4 linked regions of the Notamacropus eugenii genome follow. The protein of the gene in region 1 interacts with the protein of each later gene in a biochemical or structural test. Links are inferred from orthologs where the notes say so. Each region holds a gene or a part of one and is shown on either strand. Other genes may lie near its edges.

Region 1 (7,105 bases):
TTGAATTTTTATGGCTTTATTTTCACTGATAATGATAGTGGAACCACAAAGTTTGGACTTTTACCTCAGTATTCACTGATATTCCATACAAGAAATAATATTGGCATTGATAAATATGAAGGTGGAATTAGTGATTGAACCTAACTGAAAATATATAATGAAAACACCACAATTTTTAAATTCCCTCAAGCATCAGATTGGGAGATTTGCCAAAAAGGAGCTTTTTTTTTTTCTAGCAGAAACATGTGATAGAACAGACATCAACAACCACTGACCCATACACTTGCCTTTGAATCTCTATAAAATCTTTCTGAGACTAGTTTATATAAACATGGAGAATAATTTTGATAAAAACAGATTCGATATCATCAGAATTTTGATTTTCTACCTATATGCCTATATATTTACGGTTATACAATAGTCAAAGAAGAAACATTTTTGCAGAGTTCAATCAAGGTCATGAGAACAGGTTAGTAACTATATGAGGGCAAGTAAATTTAAAAAGTCAAATGAGAGTAAGACTTTTTCTTATTTTTTTCCCTGCTTCAACTAATTACAATTCTCAAAGATCTCCCAACAGAGGTATGTGAGTGGAGTTAACAAATAATGCCCTGTATTCCCACCAATCACTATCTTAAGATCCCAGGGAAATGAAGAAATTAGGGAAGGATCACAGACATGTCAAGAGTTAAGCTATTTCCTGTATGTAAAAGAGAAGCTGGGAAGTTATTTTTCTTTCTCCTTGCTCTCCCTGAATGTTGATCTGACACCATGTTCATTCAGCTAGAAAGGAAATGGAGACTTACTATAAGACAAGAATTGGATATTATGCATATCTCCTTGCAGTATCATGCAGTATCTGCCTGAAACTAACTCCTATTCCAGATATCTATACCTATGCCAAAGTATTGTGTAGAGGCTTAGGTGGAAAGAAGAAAAAATATGAAATCATCCATTTTATTTACATGTCATTTTTCCTCCCATCTCTACTTTCAGGCAAATATTACAAAATAATGGAATAAAGGCATATCATCTTACTCAAAGTACAATAAAGAGTTTCTTGGAAGTCATTTGCTATTCAGGAACAACTAAAAAGTTCCATGAAAGCTAAGAAATTACAAGAATAATATGGATTTACTATTCACATAATTTATATTTATGGTATATTTATATGTATGGTATATTGGTACATAGAATGCTTGACTATATACATATAGATTTTGAATGTAAAAAGATAAATTATATGGTTTTATTTTACAAAAACTTTACATTATCTTATTATTATTGAATATGATTACATATAAAGTATTTCTCCTTATACAGTCCATCTGTTTGATTCTGTGATTATGATCAGATTTATATCTATATGACCAAAACATTCTAAAAGGAGCATCAGGAGTTCCCATGGTAACTCTTTAGGATAAATTGCCATATGTTTTTAATATGGAGCGTTGTAATTGTGACTTATTTAAAGACTGAAAAATCGGACACAAGAACTGGGGGTGAGTTGAAGAAGAGAAGTTGCCCAGAGTTTTAGATTATTATGTCACTGAAAACTGATACAAGCTGTATCCCATTCATTGACTGAAGATAAACCTTAGAAAAGACACTCTTTGGAGTTAATAACTTCATAATCATGGGAAGGTCTATATTGCTGAAAAAAGAAATGGTCAGGTGTAAGTGCCAGAGAAATGAAGAAAGTCCTGTTGGTCCAATCACACTTAGTAGGGTGCAGGCTGCTACTACAAGTTGCTCACACATATTATTTACCTCCCTTTTATTTACCTATCTTTTCTATTACTTTCAAATAAACTTTCTGTATTTTGTTATTCACAGAAAATGTTACTTTCCACCAAAAGGAATAACAAGAAATGACCCATGTTTTCAGAATCACTTTGGAGATATATTAAAGCAATAAATAAAGGAAGATGCTTACGCCTCACAAGAAAAGGTATTTATAAGAAATCTTCCTCAAAGGAATTGTTATTTGAAGATGGAGTTACATTTGTGAAAAATAAAAGTACTGAAATATGTGACTTTACTAGGCCATACACTCTTTAGGAGAGGTTATGCTAAATAACAAAAGGTCTAAGTATGTTGGAAGATACAGATTTGTATTATGAATTATGACTTTGTAATGAGCATGAACTAATGTCATTAAAGAGAAAACAGAAAATGTTTTATACAGTCTTATAAAATTCCAGTAAACTAGTAAAATAGGTTATGAACAAGGAATTATGAATATTAGATAAAAGAAAAATAAATCATCTTCCTAAGTGGAATAAATTTGGTACTGTATGTTGGTGATACGTGAGAATCTTTTGACTTTAAGTATAACTTCTACTTTATAATGAAAAGAATGAGGTTTTTGTAAACAGAAATGTATTGTTTTCCCAAACCTCAAGAAACACAGACATAGACACACACACACACACACACATTCTAAATGAGACACTATGTATAACATCATAATAGTCTTGTCCAAAAGGTAGTCATTTCATAAACTTACTGTATGAGTAACACATAGATACAAATAAGTATATGGGTTTAATGTAACATTAGAGAAAAGATAAATTCCAGTATAACTACTCAGATTCTACCAGTGTAAGTTATACAACTTTGAAAGCTGTTTTAGTTACTTGAAGTTCTATTCCCAATTATGTGGTAAATTTAGTTTGTTATACTTAATTCAAAATCATTTATCAAAGAGAGGCATAATTTATTAATTAAGCTTATGTAAAGAAGTCATCCATACACTTTGTTTTACTGTATACTCCGACTATTTTCCCTCTTTTTTGCTCTTAAGATTATTTTATTTCTAAAGAGCACAAACATAGTATTAAAAATACTATCAAAATAATATTTTGATTATACCAATAGGCAGACATAAATTTGATTAAAATCTAATTGAAAGGTCAGTTTTTGGGCATCTTTGGAGGGGGCCAGGCTTTTAAAGTTTGTATTAGGAAGAACAGTTGAAATATTTTGTACTTCAGTAATACATCCATATTTAATGGGGGTTTGGACAGCTTAAAATTTTCTGCTTTTAATATTATTTTGTCTGATAGTTGAGTGAATTTATGTCGGCTTGACAGTTTTACAAGAGATTCATGTAAAACTCGGAATTCATGAAGTGAAAGGTCTTGAATCTGGGGTGGGGGCAGGGGAAGGAAATCCTCCTCAGACCAGCAGCAGCTGGAGCAGGGTGGGAGGCCTGAAGACTATCAGGTGAGATCTTGGGAAGGTGCTTATCAATCAAAACGTTATTTTTTTTATTATTATTCAATCACCGCAGGATGACGGGCACCGCGTTTCACTTGCCCCAACCCTTTCCGGATAGCGACCGTGCACCTGTATCTCCGTGTACCCTGCCTGATTCGGAGAGAGCGCATGGAATCGAGGAGATTTATCACTTACGACTGAATTTTTCATCATGGCTTTGACAGTGAAGCCGTCAGAAACCAGGGTGTGCGGCTGGTGCACGGGGAGTGGCTGTGGAGGCTGGAGTTTGGTCCTCTTCATCATCTTCTCTGGACTTTTATTTAGATTCAGGGTCTCTTTTTCTGCCACCATCTTCCTAGGAAATGTCTTGTTCCCACATCCAGGGCTTTAAGAATGACTGGGCGGTGGAGGGGAGGGAGGGAAAGACACAGCCGGAGTGGGGTTATGGAGAGTAAAAACGGCACTGTAATGGTAATGAATTCAACCCTCCAGGTCCTGCCCGGGTTTGCTTCTAGTTCCAGCTGTTTGGCAGCTCCAAGGTGAAGAGGGAGTTTGGGGAAGGGGAGGGGCAGAAAGGGGGGCAGGACCGTATTCTGCAGCTGCAACAGGCTTCCAAAGGTCCTCAGCGAGGTTGCTAGGCAACGTATCAACATCGCAGCGGAAGTCTCCCAATGACGTAGCCATTCCAGGCCAAGAGCCGGCAAAAGGGCGGGGGCGGGGCGGATTAGAAAATGAGCGGCAGGTTCCGCACTACATCTCCCAGAAGCCCTCAGGGACGTGTGCGTATACATGCGCGTGCGCATTACCTCCTCTTCACCCCCCCCCCCGCCCCCGCATCTTCAGGGGGCGGGGTAGGGAAGGGTCGGGGAGGGGGCGGGGACAAAGGGAGCGGGGAGCTGAAGGCTTTAAAGCTGTGAACGCTGGTTGTAGGAGGCGAGCGCGGGCCCTCGGGGCAGGCCGCTGCGCGCATGTTAAGCCTCCTTCGTCTGTCCTTAGAGCCACCACCTGCCCAGTGACCATGATAGGTACGTGGGTGTTCTCCAGGTACAGCTGCTTTCCGCCGCCTCTTCCCTCCCCCACCATGTGCTGGTTCTTGACGCAGGTGTGAGACCCTGCTGGTCACTGTCAAGGACGGTCTGGGTCACCTAGCGAGGTGAGGGGTGCTCTGAGTGTCCCAGAGCCCTGCCCCTCCCAGTAGAGGCCAGAACAGGCGATTCTGGCCTTTGGCTCCCCTGGTTTTGCCCCCAACTGAAGGCTGAAGTGCCCCCTTCCCCCGACCCCCAGCCGATACGCAGGTGCTGAGCCCACCTTTCCTTTCCCCCGCGGGTTGTATGAGACCACTGCTCCCTTCCCCTGAAAAGGAGGCCAGCCAAAGAACGTCACCCTGAAAGTGCCCGCTGGAAATTGACCCCGACCCCCGCAAACCCTGCCGACCTTCAGAAGCTGTGGAGGTTTTCGAAGGTCAAAGGCGCCCCTGGTTTTCTCATGCTCATGTTTCCTCCCCATCACCACCTGTCCTCCCCCACCTTCCTTGCCCTAATCTGTCTGCAAGCAACCTTTGACCATCCCAGGGAGACCCCCAAGAAGCAGGACACGAAAGTGATAGGCTTGCAGTGACGTCAGCCTTGCGGAGAAAGGTTGTTCCCACGTGGTCTTTAAACTTCTCGAAGTCTTTGACTAGCTTTTCTTAATGCCCTATTTGAGGGGGTGTTTTGAAGTCTAGGACAAATTGAGATCGGTGATAGATGGAAAACAGCTTTTAATTTTTTTTTAAGTTAGAGGTATTCTTAGTATTGTTAGGCAAAATAGTGAGCAAGTTTGTGTTTGTTTGGTTTTTTTACCCCTATAAATTTGCCCCTAAAAATTAATGGAAAAAAATATGCTTAGGACCATCTTTACGGGACTATCAATGACTTCTCACAACCAGTGTTTGGGGTTTTATGGAATTGGTTTCTGCATTATTGTTGGCACATTGAGAATTACTGATACAGTATCTTTAATTGTTGCAAGTGAATATTCGGAGCCAGTTCCATCCATAAATGTTCAGAAAACATATTACTGTGTTTATGTGTGGTGCTTGTTTATTTTTAGAGAAGCTGTCCCTTCTTAAACATTTTAATTTTATTATAAAATTAATGATACAATGTAAAAGAATATTCTTCCTGTCACTGAAGAAATAAATACCTGAGTATCATATTCCTTTGGGACTATGTAGAAATAAGCTATGTTGAGTTTTGGAATCATAGTCCTTTCCTTACCCCTTCTATCTTGGTACTGCTTTCCAGTCAATGATTCATGGAAATTAATGTTTGAAAAATATTATTAATAGCACACATTTATATATGACTCCTTAGAGTTTACAAAACACTTTCCCTACTACTACCCTGGGAGCTAGATAGTGTTGACATGAATGTTTCTGTTTTATGGAGAACCAGAAAGTTAAAGTAACTCCCATTGTCTTGAAGCTAGTGGTAAAACTGGGATTACAAACCAGTTCTCTTAATTCCAAGTCTAGCAGGTAATTGTCACAAACCAGATTAAGTTAATGTTTTATGCAGACTACTCAGGCAACATGTAAACCTTGACAAAGGTAAAAAACAAAGTCCAAAGAATAAATATTTACAATAAAATTCACATTGGGAATAGGTCAGGAGGGGGGAAAGAAATACCGGTGCGCTGATTAGGAAAGTTTGGAGTACTTGGTCTAATGTACTTTGGATATTTTCTGAATTATGAATTGCCATATTTTTTTGTGCCTTTTAATTAGCAACCTTTCCACTGTACTCCACTATTTTATGTTTCAGTGAATATGATGATGGACTCATGACCGGTAGAGCATATAACCTGGTAAATTTTAACAAGCCAAAAGGATTCTGAATATGGCCCAATGAAGGGCTTTTTATTTGTATTCTGGGGATCATCCTAAGTATATCAGAGAGTTGGCTATAGAGTGATCATATTTATTTGGCTATAGAGGCTAAGACTAAGTCATGGCTAAGTGGGAAAAAGTGTTGGATTTGAAGTCAGAGAACCTGAGTTGGAGTCATAGCTCTGCTTCTTACAGCTTGGGTAAGTCATTTAAGTCATCTGGGCCTCAGTTTTCTCTTATGTAAAATTAGAGAAGTTGAACTGGAGTATCTTTGAGGTGCCCTGTAGTTTTTCATCTGTTGTCCTATGCAGTCAAGATTAAAATATGACTCATAGAGGGGTTGCAATAAGTATCAATGGAAGAAGGACCACATCAACAAAATTTCAAGCCCCTGAAGTGTTGGAAAGTAAGGAAAATCAACAAGTTTGAAAATAGCCATGTGTGTATATTTTAAATAATTATATATTTATAAGTATACATATATAAATATCTAAAATTATTACAATTGGCTTCAGTCTAAGGAATTCATTTAACCCTAGATTATCAACTGAAAAGTGATTATGTAATTAAAAAAACCACAGTAGTTGGACAAAACACGTCCCATAGTGTTCTGGTGACTTAGGGAAACAAGAAATGAATACCATATATATATAGCTGATGCTTTGATTGCATGATGTTGTGACCCTCATGAATGATTGCTTGCAGATGCCTCAGAATAGTTCTTTAAAAGTTTCTTTTTTAACATAACAATGGCAAACAAATGATTAAACATGGGGAAAGAGGGAACATGTTGTTACAGAAAGTGCTAGGAGTCATGAGACCTGAGTTGAAATTTTAAACTCTACAGTTTCTAGTTATATAACTGTGGACAAACAATTTAATTTTTTCTGAATTAAAAGTCCTCTCTAAAATGGCCATGTTACTTGTACTATCTGTCACAGGGTTTTTGTGGGAAAAGCACTTTGCAGACTTACTGTGAATTACTTTAAATGCCATATGTAAAAAAGCCAAGAG
Region 2 (7,038 bases), on another chromosome or scaffold:
TTCCTGTCACAGACCAAATCTGATGTGTAGCATCAAATCCATCTTTTGTCCTATTGCCCAAGGATGGGCCCAGGTGTTCACCGTCACATCAGCCCTTGTCAGGATCAAGGAGGCAGACAAGGAATCTATTTATGTTTCAGATCAGTCCCTGCATTGGCTGGTCAGCCTCTGAAGAATGGGGGACCAGGGCTGGTATTTACACACACACACACACACACACACACACACAGACACACACACACACACACACACACAACCACACACACACACACACAGAGCTACATTTTCATTCATTCATTCACTGACTGGCTCTTTGGCCAACATGGACAGTTTGAAATAAGAGTGTTTGACATTAAAATTTAACAAAACCAATAATGAGATCTTCTGAGAGTATGTATGTATGTGTGTGTGTTGAGTGCATTCCTTTTAAAGGGCTTTAGCTAGACAGTTAAAAATGCAGGGGTTGCTATGCTGGGGAGTTAGGGACATTCAGAGGAAGTCTTTAATCCCACAAGGCTGACCTCAGGGAACACAGCCATTCTCAAAACAATCCTTGGCACTGATGTTAGAGACAGGATGTTATTGTGCTGACTGAATAATTAAATTCAGCTACTACTGAGTTTCTCTACTAGTACTACTAGTTCTCTACTAGTTCCTCTATTAGTAGAGGAAACTCTACTAGTTTCCTCATCTGTAAAGTGGAGGAGGGGTGGCCTAGGTGGTCCTAAGGTCCTTCCAAGGTTTTTTTCTATGGTGCTGCAAATCATGTCAGTGCCCTGGATCTCAGTTTCCTCATCTGTAAAATATAATAATAATAGCATTTATATGGTGTCTATTTTGTGCCAGGCACTACGTGAAGCACTATATGAATATTCTTTCATGGGATCCTCACAACAATCATTGAAGGTAGGTGCTAGTGTTATCCCCATTTTAAAGTTGAGAAAAATGAGGCAAGCAGAGGTAAAGTTACTTGCCCAAGGTGACACAGCTAAGTGTCAGAGACTGGATTTGAACTAGGATCTTCCTGATTCCAGACCCTGCACTCTAAGGTCCCTTCCAGCTTTAGCCCCTATGATGCTATTTCACTTATCTTCCCTGGAACTTAGTTTCCTCACTTGTAAAATGAGGGAATTCGACCAAATGGTTCCTGAGGTCTCTTTTTGGCTCTAGATATACTCTGTGCTGTGTGACTAGGTGCCTAGCCCTGTGCTGGATGCCGTGGAGGGAATCCAAGATCTCAAAGAAGGAAGGAACCTCAGGGGCCACAGAGTTCAACCTGTCCCTGACCAAGAATTCCTTCTCCACATCCTGACAAGCAGTCATCCTTCCAGTCCTCCACTGAGGACCTTCTGAGGCAGTCTACATCACTTCTGAATAGCTTGGATTATTAGGACATTTTTCCCAACATCAAACCAAAATCCGTCTCTCTTCCGCTCATTGTTCCTGCTTCTGGCATCTGGGCCCAAGCAAAACAAAGCTAATCCCATTTCCTCATGATGGTCCTCCAAATACTTAAAGTCACTGCTCATAGTTATTTATATGTAGAAATATAAATCACCCTCCTCCCCAGGCCTCTCACCATCTTCTTAAGGGAAGGGAGAGAGGGATGATTGGAACTGGTGTCCTTCCTGCTCCCAGGCATCTGCTGGTAGTAAACAACAGGTGAACAGGAAATTCTTGAGGAGCAATAGCAGGTCTCTTGTCTGTCTATAACCTCTATCCATATTTAGCTGGGAAATGACTCAACCTCTTTGGTATTTGGTATTTAATAATTTCTTCTGGAAAATGGGGACAGTAATCTTTGATCTACCTAAACCCTAGATAAAGCCTGAGTCAGATGGTCTTTTGAGTCCCTTTTGAAATGAGAGAGAGTTTGGGAGTAGACCAGGTGGTCAGCTAGGTCACCTGAGACCATGGGTTCACCTCTGCAGAGTCTGGTTTTTTTTTTATTCTACTCAGGGGTGGATCGGGCTCAGGGGAGCTGATTCATACTGAGCAAACTCACAAGGTCCTGATTTGTAACCTAGAGTGCCAGGTTATGAATTTATAGTGGAAGCTATGTCTAGTAAGATAACTGCAGAAGGCAGGAGACCAGATCAGAGGTCAGAAAGTTGCTCAGTAAGCGTAAGATTATAGAACAAAGGGAATGAGATATTTCCAGCAAGCTGCAGTAGCCAACTCATCTTCATTTTTAAAAGGTTTGTTGATACTCTTTAAATTGTATTTTCCAGTGACTCACCCTTCCAACCTAGAAACCTCCCTCATAACAAGGAAGTCAAACAAAACAAAATCAATGCATTGGCTGTGTCTGAAAATGTATGCCTCATTCCACAACTGTAGTCCACCACCTCTTTCAAAAGTATCACCAACTCATGTTTTTTTTTTCCAATGGAATCACAGGGCTTAGAACTTGAAGGGAGACTTTTTACAGATGGGAAAACTGAGGCTCAGGAAGACAGATTTTCTTTTCCCAGGTCACACAGCTAGTGAGTAGCAGAACCAGATTTCCCATCCTGGTCTTCTGGCTCTAAACCCGGGTGCTTTCCACCATGTGAAGGCTATAATAAAAATGAGAAGGCTTAATAAAAAGACTGTAATAAAAAACCCAAAAACTTGACAATAAAAAATAAACAACACTTCTAGAGTGCCCTAAGGTCTGTAGAGAGCTTTGTGCTAGGTAGCTTTGTCCATAGTGCATCAAACCTGGAGTCAGGAAGACTTAGCTTCTGAGATCAAGTCCTGCCTCAGACACATATTAGCTGTGTGACCCTGGGCGAGTTACTTTGCCCTGTTTGCCTTAGTTTCCTTATCTGTGAAATGAGCTGGAGATGGAAATGGCAAATCACTCCAGTATCTTTGCCAAGAAAACCTCAAATGGGGTCCCAAAAATTTGGACATGACTGAAGTGACTGAACTCTGTAATATATACTATCGCATAGTATATATTATAAATGATACTACATAGTATATGTAATACATAGACTTTTTATATATTTTATTCATATATTACATATAAATACATGATTAAATATATTTTGTGTAAAAATATATATAAATTTATTTATATAAACATATTTGTACATTAATGTAATATAATTAATATGTATAATTATTCATATTATATATATAATTCATATATAACAATATTTGTAGCAAATATCAACTAATAGGCACTTGGTACAAATATTATCTCCATTTTGCAGCTGGTGCATCTAAGGTTCAGTGGTCAAAGTCACTCAGGCCGGTAGTCAGATACAGTTAGGACTTGAACTTGGGTCTTCCAACTGCTGTAGTCTGGATAGGGATGTGGGGGTGCTGAGAACCCCAAAATCCAAGGGTCCAGGGCAGGGGTCTGCCTCCAAAGAATTCGACCACTCAAGAATTTCAGTCCAAGCAGCGAGTTTATTGTAACACCAAATAGAGGCTGGCCAGGCTCCTGGTGAGCCTGGGGTATTTGTGATATCAGTACAAGCAGTCCAGATTTTAAGAATCTGCACATTTGATGAGAATAAGATGGATATATTTGATATAGAAAGACTGTTGGAAGACCTGGATCGGATCTAGGAGTGGCAAGCAGCCTGAGGTGGTCTGGAGGTAACAGAGAAAGGGAGACCCCCTGGGATTAAGGAGTGTCAAGGAAGCTAGCTAAATCGTCAAGGTGGGCTGGGGTGGGCGGAGGCGGCCGGAGGCACCAGGGATCTGGGCTGCTGGAATGTAGGGGAAAATTCAGGTGCTTTTCCTTTTTGGGGTCCGCATCCTTTTAGGGGTTCAGGTTCCATCCCCATCACAACTGTGCATATTTGCATAAACTTACCAAACGCGTGCTGATTTGCTCCAAGGCTTCCCTTTCCAGGGCGGGTGGGGCCTGGAAGCCAGTCCTGGTCAGGCTCAGAAGGGTTTCTTTCCAGCGCTGCCTCGCCCTTGACAATCCCAGAGCAAGCCGGGGCCCCGCCCCTCGAGGAGGGACTGCCTACTCCTATTCAGAACTACGACTCCCAGAGTGCACGGCGGGCCATGATACCGACGTGCCCAGCGGAGCCGCAGAGCCTGGACTAGAGGCCGAGCCCCGCACGCGCCGGGGTCGCTCTGGACCCCTTCGGAGTCCGTGAAGATCTTCCGGTCAGGGAGCGGGAAGTCGGGGTGTATGTGTGGTGGGGGCGGGGAGCGGACGACGCGCCCCTCCCCTCCACGGCCTGACGCGGCCTGATGATGTCACGGCGCGTCATGGCGGCGGCGGCAGCCCGAAGAAGGTGAAGGTGAGTGAGCGGGGCGGCGGCGGCGCTGCTGGGGGAAGGCCGCGGGGGCCGGCGGAGAGCCGGGGCTGAGCCCCCGACCCCCGCCCGCATGCCCCAGCCTCACGGCCCTCCCCCGGCCAGGCCCGCGCCCCCTCTCTAGTCCTGGACCCTCCCCACTCTCCGACCGCCTCCGCCCCCATGCCAGGTCCCCCCCACCCCATGCCAGGCTCCCCCCCAGGCCCTTTTCCCTTCGTATCAGTGCCCTTCCTTCGTGCCAGGCCCCCCTCCCCTCCATGACAAGGTCCCTCTCGTCCGTGCAAGCTTCTTCCCCCTGCCCCATGCCAGCTCCCTTTCCCTACATGCTAAGCGTCCCCCCTCTTCTCCATATCAGTCTCCCTCTCTTCCCCAACCCCATGCCAAGCCCCCTTTCCCCCATACCCGTGCTCCTCCTCTGTGCCAGGTCCTCCCTCCTGTGTTCTTCCTTGGGCACATGGCATGCCCATGTGCCCACCTCCATGCCCAGGTGTGTTGTGATGCCCCAGGGTTAGTGAGCTCCTCCAGTCAGTCCCTGCCCTTGCTCTCCACCCCAGCTTGCTGGCACGTGTCCTTGCCAGAGGCCTTTCTGAGCCATCCGAGCCCGGGGTGGTTTTTGTCTGGCGTCCTAACCCTGCCAGAGGAGATTAGAGGAGCCTGGCCCCCGCCCCAGCCTCGGGGTGACCTCTCCGCCTTTGCTTCTTCCAGGTCTGGGGACTGGGCGGATTGAGCACTGCAGCCCGGGAGGGTGAGAAATGCCTGGATCCTTCCCTTCTTTTCCAGGCCAGCAGAGTTCATGATGTCAGCCTTGTGAAAACCATCCACCTCTGGAAAAGTAAGTCTTGGTTTCTCTGGGCCTGTAGTGCCTTAAACTGTAGGGGAACAGCCAGCGGTGGCTGCAGGGGCGACCCTGTCCCGGAGGTAAACAAGATTAGGAGAATATCAGAGATCCAGTGAGGGACCCCTTGAATTGACTCTTGGCACAGGGAGATTTTGCACCAGAACCCATTCTGTCTTTGGGAGAGAAAACCAAGTTGGGTCAGATCTTGTGTCTACTTCCGGTATTTGGGGCTTCCACCGAAATGTTATTTCACTCCAACCAAACAGAACTGATCTAGTGTGTTGTGAAATAAGGAAAGCAAGCATGTAAATCTAAAATACGCCCTCTTTGGCAGAGGTCTCTTTCCTGGTCTCTCCCTTCTCTCCGGTGCTGGGACTCTTCATCTTCTCCATAGTGTTCATTTCCTGACTTTGGCTGGAAAACCTCTCCTTCATCTCCATTCTTTTCATTTTTTTTCCGTTTTAATTTCTCAGCTTCTCCTTCTCTGTCTCAATTACATTGGTGTGGACGGTCCTGTGGATCCTTTTTTTCTCTTTTCCTGCTAGAAGTTGCTCTGCATAAAATTGGGTAAGAAAATGGTGTGAATTCAGGCCTTGCATTTCATACCCAAAGCCACATGAGAGATTTTTGCTTCATTCTCCTTTCTACATCCCCCAAGATACCTAACTGACCTCACTTAAACTCAGATCTGCCTGGGGGTAGATCATGCTCGTGGCAATTGAGATGTAGATTTGGGTTTGTTTCTGGGCTGTACTTAGACAGACCTTAACTGTTCCAATGAAGCCCTCTTTAAAGTGAAGTTGAAATGGCCTTGAATCAGGTAGGGTTTCAGACTTCAGCATAATTTTATCATCTAAGCGGTGTGACAGCCCTTGGTCTGTAGTAAACGTGGCAATAGTGATTCCCTAGCATTATGAACAGATCTGACCCATCCATGACTTAGTAGATATTCTCTAGAGAGTGGCCTGATGCACATAGACATTAAATGATCTGCCCAGGGCCACCCAGTTAAGTTGTAGTGGCACAACTTGAATTTAGATCTTTCAGACTCCAAACCCAGCATATTATCTATGGCACCCAGACTTTCTCTCCCTCCTGAAGTTATATGACTGTTATCTGCTTTATGCCCTAGGGAAGGGCCCCACTTGCCTAAAGCCTTGGTGGAAGTAGGTCGTTCCTAGGACCTTCCTCAAGAGCTGAAAGGGTGGTGTTGGAGGAAGTCAGGGTGGGGAGTTCCAGAGCTAGGGAAGGGAAGGTTTGTGTCCTTTTGTTTGTTCTGCCACATTCTTGGCTTCCTTTTTTGGAATAAATTCATGCTTGAGATCCTGAGTCCCAAATGTCAGGTGAAATGGAGCCAGTTAGATTTCATGGAAATTGGGGAGTTGAGGAAGTCAACATTTCTCCTGATTAAATAAATTTGTGCCAGACCAAGACTTGATTGGGTTGGCTAGGATAGCCAAGGGAGCGGGAGACACTTCCTATCCCAGGTGTTAACAAGATCAATTGAGAGCAACAGTTAGGAGCACCTGGAGGACATTCACTGCCCAGGAGTGAAAACTCTTAGGAGTTGTACGTTTTTTCTCATTCTCTTTACATCTAAGAATTTTCCATTTTCATTGAGCTGCTTTCATTTCATTTCCTTGGATAACTCATCTGCCTTTTGCTTTTCACTTGCCATATACTAAAACTTCTGGTTTCAAGCCCTTAAGTCTCACAGTCACCAAAATGTACCTCATTATAAATGCTGACTAGTTTTCAGGTAACCCACTTCCAGGAAGTAGTTTGTCCTCTGGGCAAGTAAGTATTTAGATCCTATAGGGAAAGTTGTTTTATTACAAGCCTCTCTGACTTTAGGGATTTGTCTCAAGGCCAAGTATTGGGTTGATGGAGATGGGGAGGGAAATAGGTTTTAATACTCTGGAATTTGGG
Region 3 (6,935 bases), on another chromosome or scaffold:
ACAATGCCTGAACTGCTATCCATTGTTAAAACAAAATATTTATGCTAGTATGAATACAATGAATCAAAATCAGTTTTTAACAGCTTTCAAGTTACAGAAAGGCAAAGATGCCCTGAGAAGGGTTTGCTCACTATTCTCTAAGACATCTACATCATCAGCCACAAAGGGTTTCATCTTAATGTATCATCATTTGTTAAAGGACCTTCGATTAACAGCACCTCAAAAAGTTAAAATAAGGTGGCTGTTAAAAACAAGTCCATGAAGACAAAATTGTAAGAAATTATCAACAGGGCAAAGCTGTAACACCATGACACCAATAGCTACTGGGTTCACAATAACACACTACAACTCAGGGCAACCTGACAGAGATGTTATTCAAGTTTGAAGTTTCCCACAGCAGTTTGGCCTGACTCAGCCTTTCTCTTCTAGGAGTGCCTGTTGCAGGAGCTTTGTACATTAATACATCATTATTAAAGTTGCAACCAGCACAAGATCTTCTCCAGTCTATTTCTAAGATGACCCTTTCCGACTTTCAGAAGTCAAATTCTATTGCACTGAATATCAAATCAATCAACTGCAGCTCTGGCTGTCTGATGTGGACAGTCATTAGAGGAGGAGGAGGAGTAAGATTCAGATGCCAAGTTTACTGAGGATGACTCCCAGGCAAGACTCATGACAATTCTAAGGTTCATTTTTCTCATTTCTAAGATGAGGATGATATCTGCTCTAACTACCTTATCTGGAAGTTGTGAAAATCAAATGTTTAATCAAACGATTAAAGCAAAGTACTTTACACATCTCAGCTGTTATCACTTACCCTCCAGGGCTTTGAGAGGAAAGTGCTTTGTAAACTATAAAATGGAAATAGGATCCATGATCAATTCCTCGCTGTTTATGGGGATGGATGATCACAGAAACATGCTTTAGGGGCACAAATCATGCTTGGAAAGGAAATGACAGTAACAATTATACAGAAACCAGAACACTAACCTCTCTTGCTTCCTCACTTCCACCTTTCATCTCACCTCCTGGAATCCCTATTTTTCTTCAAGGTTCAAGTCAGGTGTTACCTGTAGAGGTCTTTCCTGATTACCTCTGGAATCAATATCTTTTCCTCCTCAAATGACTTTGTTTTTACATATATGTATCCTTTGCCCCCCACCCCAAAGTTAAGTCTCTCGAGGAGCTTTCAATTTTGGTACCATCAGATACAAAGGCACTGGTCAGTGCTTAAGTCTTCTGAATTAGATTCTTTCCTTCCTCAGCAATTTCCAGCCACCCTGTCTCTTCCAAATCTGATCCTAACATCCCAGAAGGCCCCTAGTGTAAGGGTTGACCTGCTCCCACCCCATTTCTCAGAAACCAAATTCTCCCCTAGACTACTTTTTTATCACTCTTTCCACCCCAACAAATCCTTCCATGGTTCTTCCCCCTGTCAACACACCCCCTCCAAGATTCCTCTGTGCCCCAACACACAAACCCCATGCACCGTTCCTCCTCCCCCAACACCAGAGACCTCCGCATGCCTCCCCAACACACACGCACCCCGCTCTGCAAAGTTCCCCTCTAAACACAGACCCCCCCTTCACGGTCCCTCCCCCCAGATCTCTGCAAGTGTCCCCCCCAACAGATTTCTACAGGGTTGCCCCCCAGACACAAAGACCATTAAAAGTCGCCTCCCCAACCCGAAAGAACCCTGCACGGTACCCCCCCAACACAGACCTGTGCACCGTGCCTTCCCTCAAACCCATAGCCTCCAATACCGTACCCCCAACACACCGACCCCTGCAAGGTCTCCGACCCCCTCCCTTCCTCTCCCCCCAACACACCGACCCCAGCCCCTGGCAGCCCCTCCCCCCGGGGCGCTCTTCCATCCTCCCACCCCACCCCCTCTCCGGTGCCCGCGGCCTCTCCGCGCCCCAGCCCCTCGCTTCCGGCCCCCGCCTCCGGTGCGGCTGCCACAGCTGGGGCCGACACACCCACCGCGCCCGGGGCCCGGGGCAGCCGCCGGCACAGCCCGCCCGGAGCGCGAGCAGCCCCCCGGATCCCCCCGGGCTGAGAGGCCCCGCGAACCAAAGCCGAGGCCCCGGCGCCCGGGCGCCGCCTCAGCCTGCGGCCCCGCTGCCGCTCGGCCCCCGGAGCCCAGCCCCGGCCTCCCCCGAGCCGCGGCTCGCGGAGCCCGCCGGGTTCCCCGCGGCACAGAGCCCGTGCGGGCCCAGCGCCGCATCCCCCGCTGCTGGCCCGGGCCCCGGCGCCCCCGCTCACCCGAGCCCGTGGTCGCCGCCATCTTGCGTCGCTGCCGCTCGGAGTCCGCCCCTTCTTCTCCGTCCGCCCCTCCCTCTTCCCTCGCCCCCCTCCCCGAGAGGGGTTCCCTTCTCCGCCCCGCGGCCTCGCCGCGCCATGACGTCACTTCTGACGCCAGCGCGGCGGACCGACGCAGGCCTCCGCCAGGCCGCGGAGAGACCAAAAAAGAGAGAAGCGCCCGGGAGGGCGCGGCAACCTCAGAATTCAAAGTGGAGCGGAAATGCATGCCCGAGCGCCGGTTCTGGGAAGTGAGTTCTTGAGGTGTCGGTAGTAACGACCGAGGACAAACAGGCTTGGTCGGGTGCAGCTGTGCTGGGAGCAGGAGGCTCTGCCAAAGCGGCCACGTGGGTGCTCGGCTGACACCCGGGGAGGGCTCCTCCAGGAGCGTCCTGCATTCAGGATGTCTTGGGGTCCTCCCTGTGATCCCCCTTCGCCAAGTGAGGCTAATGGACTTGTTGAGCACGTCAGCCGCAGGTGGAGCGTCGACTAGCACCCGGGCTTCCCCGATCCACGTCCTGGGCGCTCCGAGGGACCCAGAAATGGACGAGAAGTTGGAGCACGTGGGAACCTCCGGGAGGCCTCGGCCGCGCTCTTCGCCTTACAGGCGAGGGGACCGAGGCCGGGCGGCCAGCCCGAGAGGCGGGGGCTGCATGGTGCGTGGTAGGACCCAGAGCTGCGGACCTCCCGCCCCGCACACACGGCTGGCCTTCCCCCGCTGCCCCTCCAGGAGCCTGAGTGGGTGGGGCTGGGCTAGTTCTCCAAGCTTCTTTCCAAATCCGCGTTCTCCGATTCCAGCTGAAATCATCCGATTTTTTTTTTTAAAACGAAAAAAGGAAGCACAGAATTTTTACCCAATAAATACAGTGTTTGAGAAAGGTACTTTAGTTCTACATTATGGACAATTTAATCAGAAGGAAGAGAGGAAAGGAAAAGGAGAGCGGAGAGAAGTCGAGGCAGGGCCTAGAAGAGTAAAACTGGCTTCTGTTGTCACAAATACATTTAAGGATAAAATTTAAGTTTTAAAAAAGGACTGCAAGGAGCCAGCCTGTGGGGAGAGAGATGTGAATGGATCATTTAGCTCTACTTTAGATTTTTCTGGAAAAACTTCATGGAGTGGGTATCACCACTAGGGACTGTGGACAAAATGATGGGTTGAACTAAATTATCTCTAACACCCTTTCCAGCTTGAAATCCTACCTTGATAAGACCCAACTCAGCGGGATCGAACAAATAACGTGGGGGTAGGTATTCCTAAGTTCATGGAATCAGTGCCCTTCTAGGTTTCCAGTAAGGGGGAAAGCCACATGCTTCCTTTTGATCCCTGAGGCTGAAATTCTATTTCACACACGCGTATACACACATTTTATGCATATAAATGTGTATGTGTGTGTATACAAGTACATGTATATATGTGTATGTTTATATGTATAGATATGGAGAAAGACTGTTAGAGTTAGTTATGGATGTTTTCACCACTTCCTGCAGAAAATCATGACTGCCTGTTTTGCCATCCACTTTTAAACACAAAGGTGCAATGTTTGATCCAGGTCCCCCATCAGAGGAGTCCAAAACCAGACTCTGGAATAATGAAGTTCACGCTGGGCCCTACTAGCAGGTGGCAAGGTACCCGGCTCACTGAAGACACCCAACAAAACCAAACTTGAGTATGTAGAATATGGAATGTTGGAACAGCTGCATCCATTCCTCATAGGACCTTTATTCCTGACCACTCTGGCCTGCTTCTACATGCCGGAGAGCCTCATGCTATTATTGTAGGACCTACTTATGTATCTTAAGGACCTCTGGGCCTTGCCAAATGTTCTGACACTCCACCTTTAGGACTTCTAAACTCTTCCATCTGTCCTGCAACTGAACATTCTTTTATGTGTTGATTTCTCCAATTAGTGTGTAGGTTCCTTGAGAACAAGGGCTGTTGCTTTTTCTATTCATATGCCCATTCAAGTGTTAGGTGACCCTGTGGAGAGACCGCTGGCCTGGAGTCAGGAAAACCTTGGTTTAAATCTGACCTCAGATACTTACTAGCTGTGACCCTGGGCAAGTCACAAACCTATTTACCTCAGTTTCCTGATCTGTAAAATGAGCTAGAGAAGGAAATGATAAATCACTCAGTATCTTGCTAAGAAAACCCCAAATGGAGTCATGAAGAGTTGGACATGACCAAAAATGACTTAAAGGAACTCAATAAATATTTATTCAATTCTACTTCCTCAGCATCTCTCTCACAATCACCGCTCATCACAATTATTCTAGTACAGGTACTCTTCATCATCTGAACTGTTTTAATAGGCCCTTATTCAGTCTCCCTACGTCTATCCTTTTCCTGTGCCAATCTCCCTTCCACAAAGCTACCAAAGTGATCTTCCTAAAGTTCAGGACCAACTATGTTACTTACCTGTTTAAGGAATTTTTGTGACTCATTCCTTCTAGGATAAAATACAGACTCCTCTGTTTGGCATTTAAAGCCCTACACAGTCTATCTCCAGACCATCTTTTTAGGTTGATTACAAATTGATTCCTTTCATTCAATCTACATTTCAGCCACACTGCTCAGTCACCTCCATGCCTTTCATAGGCTGTATTCATGCCTGGAATGCTCACCTTCCTCACCTCTGCCCCTTGGAAGCCCTTACTCTTTTCATAATCTGTGCAATTTATCCTTCATGAGATGTTTCCTCATTCCCTCACTGTTAAGCATTCCCTACCAAATTACTTTATGGCATGTCCTGTATTTACTCATCTGTGAGCATGGATCCTCTAATAATTCCTTGATAGCATGGCTAATCTCACTTTTTGTATTTGTAGTGCCAGCATTTATCATGGTCATCAGTTAATAAAGATTAAGCACCTACCATGTGCCAGGCACTGTGCTAAGCACTCGGGATTATAAATACAAATTAAAAAAAAAAGACTCCCTGCCCGAAAGAAGTTTATAATCTAATGGGAAAAGACAGCCCCCAAAAAAGGAAGTTGAAAAGTCAAGAGGGTGGGAGAAGGTGCCCAGCTGTGGGCATGAGGAAAAAGTCTAAATCAGTGCAGTCAGTGGGAAATGATGAGATGATTGTTCTGGGCCCCCTTTTTAAATGGAAGTTTTGGAGCTTATGGCTCTGCCTTCAAGCCAATGGCTCCAATGAAACAAATAGAGGATACTAATGAAATGTGGGTACCAAGGCTCATTCAGTCTTGCAGGATGATATTTCCCAATGATGAGGTTTCCAAGGTGCTGTAGCACATGGTAGGTGCTTAATAAATATGTATTGATTGAAACTCTCCCCTGAGATCAGGAGCTTCATTTATCCACAGCATACTTAAGAAATATTTACTAAATTTAGTAAAATAGTAAGAAGCAGATGGAGATATAAAACCCAGGTCCTTGCATTCCAGATCTAATACTCTTTCCACAGCATGTTAGAGACTTCTAACATGAGGACTAAATGAGGACTTCGCTAGGGATCAGTCAATGATAAGGGATATAATCAGGCTAAAATCATATGTGAGTCTCCAAGAATTCTGAGAGTGGGCCAGTAGAAGGAGGGGCAATGATTTGGATAAGGGATGCCCAAGGTGCATGGAGAAGTTAGCAGACTTATTTAACTGTGCTCAGCTGTACTGTAAGGTAAAGGAGGGAATCCTAGCTCCAGGCAGCTGCTAGAAGCATAGTGGGATAGCTTAGGGAAATGTAAGGGAACATCATTTTGATCTTGTATCCAAACATAAACAGGGATTTCTATCCGGTAGAATAGTCAGGTGCTCTTTGAGATGTCAGTGTGAATGTTGTAGTCACAGAGTTTAACATGCCATCACAAATTGTATTCATGCCTCCTCCCAGGACTGGAATGCTCTTCCTTCTTGGAACTTTCAGCTTCCAACAGGACTCAGCTCAATCATGCACATCCTTCAAAAGGGCTTTCTTGATTCCCCAGTTGTTAATGCCCCACCCTTTGCATTTATCTCTTAAATTTGCTTAAAAAAATTTTTTTTTCTATGAAAAGCCTTTTTCCCCCTCCCATTGACTTCTCCCCTTGGGGTGCGTTGTAGGGGCTGGGGGAGGTGTGGATGGGGTTTGTGTTCATGGAGAAGCACTTGTTATAAACATTCATAGTCAAAACAAATAACCACCTCAGCATATTCAAAAAATATGTCTCAATCCAAACTCTGGGTCCATCACTTTGGTCAGAAAGTAGATGATATGCTTCATCATGGATCCTCTAACTCTGATATTCATCTTACATACCACACGTAACTAGATTGTCTCCTCACAAAATATAAGCTCCTGGAGGTCAGGACTCTTTTTATTCATCCAGCACCTTACTACAGTAGCCACTTAATAAATGTTTGTTTACTGTTTGCTAAGAGTTACAGGAGTTCATGATCACTTTTGGCCGAGTGCGTTAGGGGAGGCTTTCCAGAAAATTTGGGAGTTTGAGCTGGGCCTTGAAGGCGGATATGATTTCCATAGAAAGAGTGAGAAAAATGGTCTGCCCAAAGCCATGAGAGTAGGAAAGCTCAGAAAATATTTGGGGAAGAATAAATACAGTTTAAATAGAACAGAAAGTTCATAAAGAGAAGCAGTGGGAGATAAGGTTAGAAAGGTAGATTGTGGAGGACTGTGA
Region 4 (7,452 bases), about 94 Mb from region 1:
GGTGTTTTCATGTCCTCTGGTTTCATTTTAGAAACACATGGTCAAATTTCCAGTAAATAATTTTATTATCTTTGAATAGTTCTTAAATTGTTATATGACTCATTTTTAACTCTTTATGTTACTTCTCCCCAATATTATTTCAAGTTTGATGGCAGGAACTAAATTTATACTTTAAAAAACATCTTCCACAACTGGTACAATTCTTTGCACAAAGTAGGCATTCAATAGATATATAGGGAAAAATGTTATAGAATGTCTATACCTGACAGTTCTCCCCCATGCCCAGCCCTAGTTGTTTCCACGTAGACTGCTGATTGAAGCTATAAGAAGAAAAAATGTCAGACCAACTCCTATGAGATCCTTGTTTGATACAAACCTTTAAAATGTTTGAGAAAGTGTGGTATTTCTGGATAACATTTGAAATGGGAGGCCTGATGTTATAATTTTTTGTATCTTTTTTAAGAGTCAGAATGGATCATTTTATAGATGAAGAAACTAAGGTCTAGAGATGAAGGGAAATCTTATTTAAGATCACACAGTTTATTTAGTGGTAGATTTGAGACTAAAAACTCATGTCTTAGGATCATAGATTTAAAGTTAGAGATGATCTTTGAAGTCACTGAGTTCAGATCCTTCACTAATAGATGAGGAACTTCAGACACAGCAACTTGTTGATGGTCATACAACTAGTGTCAAAGCAGAATCTGAATCCCAGTTCTCCCTGACTCCAGATCCAGTGCTTTATCCACTAGGCTAGGCTGATCCATCAGATTTTAGTTATTCAATAGTTGTTCTCAGATTTATTTCCCATAGTGAACTGTAATGGTAATTTAAATGGGAAGATCTTTCCCATTCATTAATAAGTCCACGTAACCTGCTTAAATCACATGGAAGCCTAAGTCACATGTGGTGGGAGGTGCTTGCAGAATGGGTGGAACAGAAGTGGGAGGAAGTTGGTGAGAGTGGTTGGGGCAGAGGAGAGCAGATGCAGGCAGGCAGGCATAGCTAGGTTTGTGAGTGTTTGCTTGTAAGAAGGCCAGGAAGAGAATGGGGAAGGCTTGGGAATGGCTTTATCCCCTGCTGTGCTAATATGTATTGACTTCTTGGTTACTATGATGGATTTGGCTTTCTGGTGTCTGAATAAATGTTTTTCTTCTGCCTTCTATATTAAACTTTGTGATTCAGAACTAAGTTGGCATTTTTGTAGTGGCCCTCGATGCTGTGAATATTGCCTGGGTGATACAAGAACATAGTGAAATGTTACTTGTGTAATGGCTTTAGGGCCAAACCTTCATTGTGCTCACATCTGTAGGGTTTCTATAGTAAAAGGCAGTGCAACTTAATGCCACCCGAGTATCTATTTCCCCCTCTAAATGTAGAGAACATCACCCAACCTATGTGCTGGGGGCAAGAGGAAAGGGAGAAGGGTGGTGGCTATAGACTGAGGACGAGATTATAGTCATATTCCTCTTAGGTGATGGGGAAGAAAACAGTGGATTTCTCAACAGCACACTAATGGGAAGATGAGGTCTTCTTCAGTATGAGCCTATGCTTTAGACTAGTGAATCACAGGATGGGAAAGTACCTCTGAGGCCAACTAAAGTCTAGCTTCTACCCAAAAAAGAATCTACCTAGAACAATCCCAGATAAGTGATCATTGAGCCCCTAATTGAAGGAAGTTAGTGGAAGAAACTCACAGCCTTTGGATGCAGTTCATACCACTTTTGGTTAACTATAATTGTTAGTCTTTCCTCTAACATCCTCTAAAATTGCCTTTAGTTTTCCTGGCTTCTTTCAAGATTCAGCTCAAATCAGAACTACTGAAATAGCATAGCGAGCAGAACCAAAACAGAACCTGGAATCCAGAAGAGCAGAGTTCAAATTTGGCTCCAGATACTTCTTAGCTGTGTGATCCTGGGAAGTCATTAACCTTTGCCTCAGTTTCCTCATATATAAAATGGGGATAATAATAGCACTTACTTCCCAGGATTGGTGTAAGGATCAAATAAGATTTTTGTAAAGTGCTTTGTAAACCTTAAATCACTATATAGATCCTAGCTATTAAATCCTACACTTATGCAGGGAGTTTTTCTGGATTCCTCAGTTACATACCTAGTTATTTCTATGGTGTCACCTCTTCCGCCATTAGAATGTATACTTCTTGAGGGTAGGAACTTTCTTTTTGCACAGTGCCTGTAAGTACCTTTTTTTTTTTTTTTAAGACTATGTCTTTCTACATGGTGCAGTCTAGAAGCTTAGAGTTCACTCATAAGCCCAATTACATTACTTATTGGCATGAAAGCTTTGACCAGCTCCATTTTTGACCTGAACTGGTTCTCCCCTCCTTACGCAGCCTCCCCTTTCCCCTGTACCTCACTGGTGCTAGATTCAAACTACCTAGCCCTACTGAGGCTCAGAACTCTGGAGTTCAAGTGATCTTTCAGCCTTAATTTGCCAAGATTGAAGCATGTGCTAGGAGGCCAGGCACATAAGTGTTTAATAAATATTGTTGATTGCTTAGCCTGTAGTCACACTGGTGGTTAAGCGTCAAAGGTGGGATGTGTACCCAGGCCCACTGACTCTACCGCTAGTGCTCTTTCCACTACAGCACATAGCAGCTATGGGGCAGCTAGGTGGCTAAGTGGATTGAGTACTGGACCTGGAGTAAGAAGGACCTCAGTTCAAATTCAGCTTCAGATACTTTGCTGTGTGACTGAGCAAATCATGTAACCCTGTTTGCCTCAATTTCCTCATCTGTAAAATCAGCTGGAGAAGGAAATGACAAACCACTCCAGTATCTTTGCCAAGAAAACCCCAAATGGGGTCATGAAGAGTTGGACATGACTGAACAATGCAACAGCTAAAGTTGAACACTGTTGCTCTGTAAGAAATGAAAGTGAGGAATTCAGAGAAATACGGGAAGCCTTGCATGAACTGTAATGCAGTGATGTACGTAGACGCATAAAAACAACATACATAACTATGACAACATAAAAATTAAGAATAGCAAATGAAACCAAATTTTATGTAGTTACAATGATTAGATAACAACAGAAAAAATATATCTCCCTTCTTTCATTGAAAGAATCATATTGTACATGATCATATTAGACATTTTCCATGTGTATTGGATGGTTTTATTAAATTTTTTAAAAAAATTTCCTCACAAGGGAAGACTTGCTAGGATTGGGTGGGGATGCAGAGAGAGAAGGTATTTTTGTAAAAGATTACTTTGTAAAAGTTATCACTAAATCTATAAAATTATATATATATATAATGTTACATTATATGTATAAATATATAAACATTATATTAACATATATAAATTATATATATATATGAAACAATAAGAGCTAACATTTATATAGTGCTTACTATGTGCCAGGCACTATGTTAAACACTTTGCAAATATTATCTCATTTGATCTTTACAACAACCCTGAGAGATAGGTGCCATTATTATACCCATTTTGTTGTTGTTGGTCTGACTCTGTGACTCCATTTAGGGTTTTCTTGGCAAAAAGACTGGAGTGGTTTGTCATTTTCTTCACCAGCCCATTTTACAGATGAGGAAACTGAGGCAAACAGGTTTAAGTGACTTTCTCAGGGTCACACAGCTAGTAAATGTCTGAGGCTGGATTTGAAGTCATTAAGAGGAATCTTCCTGACTCTAGGGCCAGCACTCTTCTCATCTAGCTGCCTCTACTTTACCCCCCAACCTCCAGAAGCCATTTAAATCTTTTTGACTGATAGCTTTTGTTACTGTCACCTACATTCTTCACATATCCCCCTCCCAGAGGGCTATCCTTCACGGTAAATTCTATAAAACTAACCAACGCACCCAAAGTCCCATGTTCTATGCAATTGGACGCAGTCACAGTCTCCCACTTAGCACAGTGCCTGGTACATGGTATAAATGTCTGTTGATTTCCGCCTCCCTTCTTTGGGGTCAAGCTTGGTCCTACTTCTCAGCATTCAGTTTCCATCCATTTTTCTTTGTGCTATTTACATAGCTGTTGCTACTTAATCTCTGGTCAGTTTCCTCATCTATGAAACAAAAAGTGTCAGCTTCCATGAAGGGTTCGTAAAATCTGGTTTCAAGGGCCAAAAAAATAAATTCATCTTCATTTCAATAACCTGTTTTCCGCTGTAATTCCATATGCCTTATTTTATATTATATAAAACCATTATTTGGAGAATGGGTCTATAGGCTTCATTCACCACAGGGCCAAAGAAAGAAGGTTTGGCGAACGCGCCTCCCTTTAGTTACTATGTTACCTCGGGCGTGTCACTTTCCCTCCTCTGGACCTCAGTTTCCTCCCTCGCACAGTGAGGGGCGGGGTGGGTGGGTTAGACTCTACCGAGGACGGATCTCGGACTAGCCCGACCGAGTCTCCCTGGCCTGCAGCGAGCGCGGGAGGCGGCCCGGAAGCGTGACCACGTCGGGCCCACGGCCCGCCACGAAGTGACTGCCACGTCAGGATAACTTCACAAACCGAGCGCGGGGCAGGGAGCGCGACACCCGGCCCCGCATTGGGGGCGACGGGGGCGGGCGGGCACGGCGGCGGGACAACGGAAGCTCAGGCCGCGGCCCCACCCCCGGCTCTCCAAGCCTGCGACGGCCCGCAAGGGCCGGGCCTCCAGGCGGGGGCCGGGCGGGGCGGAGACGCAGGGCGGGACACTAGCCGGGCGGGCCCGGCGCAGGCAGCGAGGCGGATCCCCAGGAGGCGGAGCGGAAGGAGGCGGTGGCGGCGCGCGGAAGGAGGCGTTGGCGCGGCGGGCGGAGCGCAGGCAGGGAGGCGGAGCCACAGTCCCCGCCGCCGTCGCCGCCGCCAACGCTGCGTATCCCTGGCGCTCGCTGGGGCCGCCGGGGGCGGGGACTGGGGGACGCGGCTTCCCCGGCTCAGGAAATCCCCGGGGCCGGAGCCGGGGCCAGCAGCCCGTCGCGGAGCCGGGGAGCAGGAGGCGGTGGCGGGGCCGGAGCGGGACGGCAAAGCCACCATGGAGACCCGCTACAACCTCAAGAGCCCAGGTAGGGAAGGAAGCAGCCGCTCCCCTCCATCTCCCAGCACGCATGCGCGGGCGGACGGACGGACAGACGGACTGGCAGCCGGGGAGGCCTTGGGCCGCCGCCCCGCCACCTGTCACCGCCCGAGGGCCCCCTTCCTTACTCTAGTCGGATGTCCGGCCTGTCCTGGGCATGACCCCTCGGAGTCACCCGGGACCCGGGGAGCCGTCCGCTCGTCCACTGGCCGGCCCAGCCCGAGCTTATGGAGAGAGGGCCCTGCCTCCACCTCCCGACCTCGGCCTCACCCCACTTGGCCTTCTCCATTTCTTTTTCCTCTCCTCCTCATCCTTTTTAAAGGGGCGGCACCCTAGAGGCCGCAGGACACTGTGGGACCCCCCCGCAGGGCGCCCGCGCCGCCTCCTCGGGCTGCTGCCCTCGGACTGGACACTTCCCGGGCAACTTGGCCGCCCCGCCTTCTTGGCCGTGGTCGGGGGTGCTGGTCCGTGTGCGCGCTGGACGAGGCGTCTGCGGGGAAGTGCGGGAGAGACGGGAGAGGGGTCTGTGGCAGGTCTGGACCTGGACCCGCTCCCCAAGGAGAGCGCCTTGGTGAGGAGGAAGTCGGAGGACCCCTTGTGCCCTTGTGCAGCTCCCTTACTCTGCCCGGACCTCAGTGCCCTCCGCTGTAAAATAGTGGCGTTTCAGCAGGAGAACCCCAAAGGTCGCCTCCATCCCCCAAAGCTGTGATCCCCTGAAGATGTGGAGCTTGGAGCACCTACTGCCTGGGTGACCTTGGGGAGCTCACCTATCCTTTCTGGGTTTTAGTTTCCTCGTCTGTAAAACGAGGGAGTTGACCTAGATCTAGGATTCTTAAGCCGGAGTCGGATAGATTTTTTGTTTTGAAGTGGGGCTGGGTCTTAGGAACTTGGATGGGGAAACACATTGTCTATATTTTCACAAACTTTTGACTGAAATACAGTATTTCCTTCAATTATTTAAAAGGAGTCCATGACACAGAAAAGATTAAAAACTCCTGTTTTTAGAGTCATTTTCAGCTCTTAAATATTCCTTTGGTCTTACGTTGTTAGAGTCCACCACGGTTTTTCAACTTGAAAGCTTTTACTCATAGCATTTTCTAATAGATTATCTTTAGGTATTTGCCTTCCAACCCTGTCTGTGAAGTGAGTAGTGTGACTATATACATATATATAAGCTGGATGAATCCTAAGGTCCTATTAAACCCTGAAACCTTATAGGTCATCTATTTCATGCTACTTCATATGTTTGTTGTTGTGTTTGTACTTCATATATGTACATATTTTACATATGTGTATGTAGCTGTATTTATCTACCTGTCTACCTACCTACCCTTGGGATAAAGGATAATTGGGTTCCTGTCCTGTATTGAACACATCCTGGCTGTGGGATTCTCTAGGAGTGACCTAATCTCAAATACTGATACTGTAAGTTGCAGATCAGGTGTCTGCAGTTTTAGAGGGAATTTCCTCATCTGCAGTTGGAAACCATAGCTCCAGACTGTCCTGACCCTCAAACATATCAATCCATATCCAGTGTTTGAGAATGAGGGGGAAGTGGAAAAAGTCCACTGATAAGAATCAGTGAACAGGCACTTAAGTGCCCACTATGCCAGGCACTGTTCAAAGCCAAGATAAACAATGGAGTTTACATGTTAGCACTGTAGCTCACATGATAGTGATTATTATTCATGTACAGTGCTTTGAGGTTTTCAAAATGTTTTATACACATTATCTCGTTTAATCATCATGTTTACTCTGTTAGGTAAGTGCAACAATTATTCCATTTTTATAGATGAGGATACTGAGGTTCAGAGAGGTTAAGGTGATTTGCCCAGGGTCAAAGGTATTGTGTCTCAGAGTCAAGAGTTAAGTCTCAGAGTCTTCCTGACTCTAAGGCAGGTTCTCTTATAATATCTCTCAGTATAAATTTACCTTTTTAACAGATGAGGAAGGAGAGACCCAGAAAAATGAAATCTCTTATGGTCATATAGCTCTTAGGCCCTGACTTGAAACAGGAACCCAAAATTCTAAACTGCCAAGTCCAGAATTATTTCCACTGCAGAGTGCCTCCTGTGTAACTACATACATACCTATGTAGGCTCCCTTCATCAGGGGAGAAGGAATTCAAAGCAGTAAGTAACCCTGATGCCACTACTCCAGTCCCTTCTACAAATCCTTGGGCATATATACAGTAGAACATAGATGAATGCCTGTGAAAGAGCTGCGCCTTCATAAGTGTCTGTTGATTGATCACCAGGTACTGCCATTGCACTGGCAAAATTTGTGAAATGGTAAAAAAAAACAATGCAGTTTAAGTTTAATCTTTAGGAAATATTAATGGTTTATTCAGCTGTTGTTCATTCCCCTCTCCACCCCTTTTTCCAGTTGGTTTTTAGGAAACCAACGATCT

What was found.
Region 2: of the proteins of PRKN (region 1) and MFN2, one has a biochemical effect on the other in vitro, tested with the Homo sapiens proteins (2 studies listed by BioGRID). The link is inferred for Notamacropus eugenii from reciprocal best matches to the Homo sapiens genes PRKN and MFN2.
Region 3: the proteins of PRKN (region 1) and UBE2V1 form a complex in vitro, tested with the Homo sapiens proteins (4 studies listed by BioGRID). The link is inferred for Notamacropus eugenii from reciprocal best matches to the Homo sapiens genes PRKN and UBE2V1.
Region 4: the proteins of PRKN (region 1) and UBE2J1 form a complex in vitro, tested with the Homo sapiens proteins (4 studies listed by BioGRID). The link is inferred for Notamacropus eugenii from reciprocal best matches to the Homo sapiens genes PRKN and UBE2J1.

The regions. Positions count from the first base shown.
Region 1 is NC_092873.1:256,731,390-256,738,494, reverse strand, and holds the start of PRKN (E3 ubiquitin-protein ligase parkin), read left to right. Parts: upstream 1-4,103; 5' UTR 4,104-4,240; coding exon 4,241-4,247; intron 4,248-7,105. Other genes in the region: PACRG (parkin coregulated gene protein), read right to left, coding at 3,418-3,573. UniProt on the Homo sapiens protein: Functions within a multiprotein E3 ubiquitin ligase complex, catalyzing the covalent attachment of ubiquitin moieties onto substrate proteins. Substrates include SYT11 and VDAC1.
Region 2 is NC_092876.1:51,427,412-51,434,449, forward strand, and holds the start of MFN2 (mitofusin-2), read left to right. Parts: upstream 1-4,031; 5' UTR 4,032-4,256; intron 4,257-4,976; 5' UTR 4,977-5,103; intron 5,104-5,582; exon of another isoform or gene 5,583-5,676; intron 5,677-7,038. UniProt on the Homo sapiens protein: Mitochondrial outer membrane GTPase that mediates mitochondrial clustering and fusion. Mitochondria are highly dynamic organelles, and their morphology is determined by the equilibrium between mitochondrial fusion and fission events.
Region 3 is NC_092872.1:516,863,112-516,870,046, reverse strand, and holds the start of UBE2V1 (ubiquitin-conjugating enzyme E2 variant 1), read right to left. Parts: upstream 3,008-6,935; 5' UTR 2,531-3,007; coding exon 2,266-2,530; intron 1-2,265. UniProt on the Homo sapiens protein: Has no ubiquitin ligase activity on its own. The UBE2V1-UBE2N heterodimer catalyzes the synthesis of non-canonical poly-ubiquitin chains that are linked through Lys-63.
Region 4 is NC_092873.1:163,063,566-163,071,017, reverse strand, and holds the start of UBE2J1 (ubiquitin-conjugating enzyme E2 J1), read left to right. Parts: upstream 1-4,445; 5' UTR 4,446-5,000; coding exon 5,001-5,031; intron 5,032-7,452. UniProt on the Homo sapiens protein: Catalyzes the covalent attachment of ubiquitin to other proteins. Functions in the selective degradation of misfolded membrane proteins from the endoplasmic reticulum (ERAD) and is essential for cells to recover from ER stress.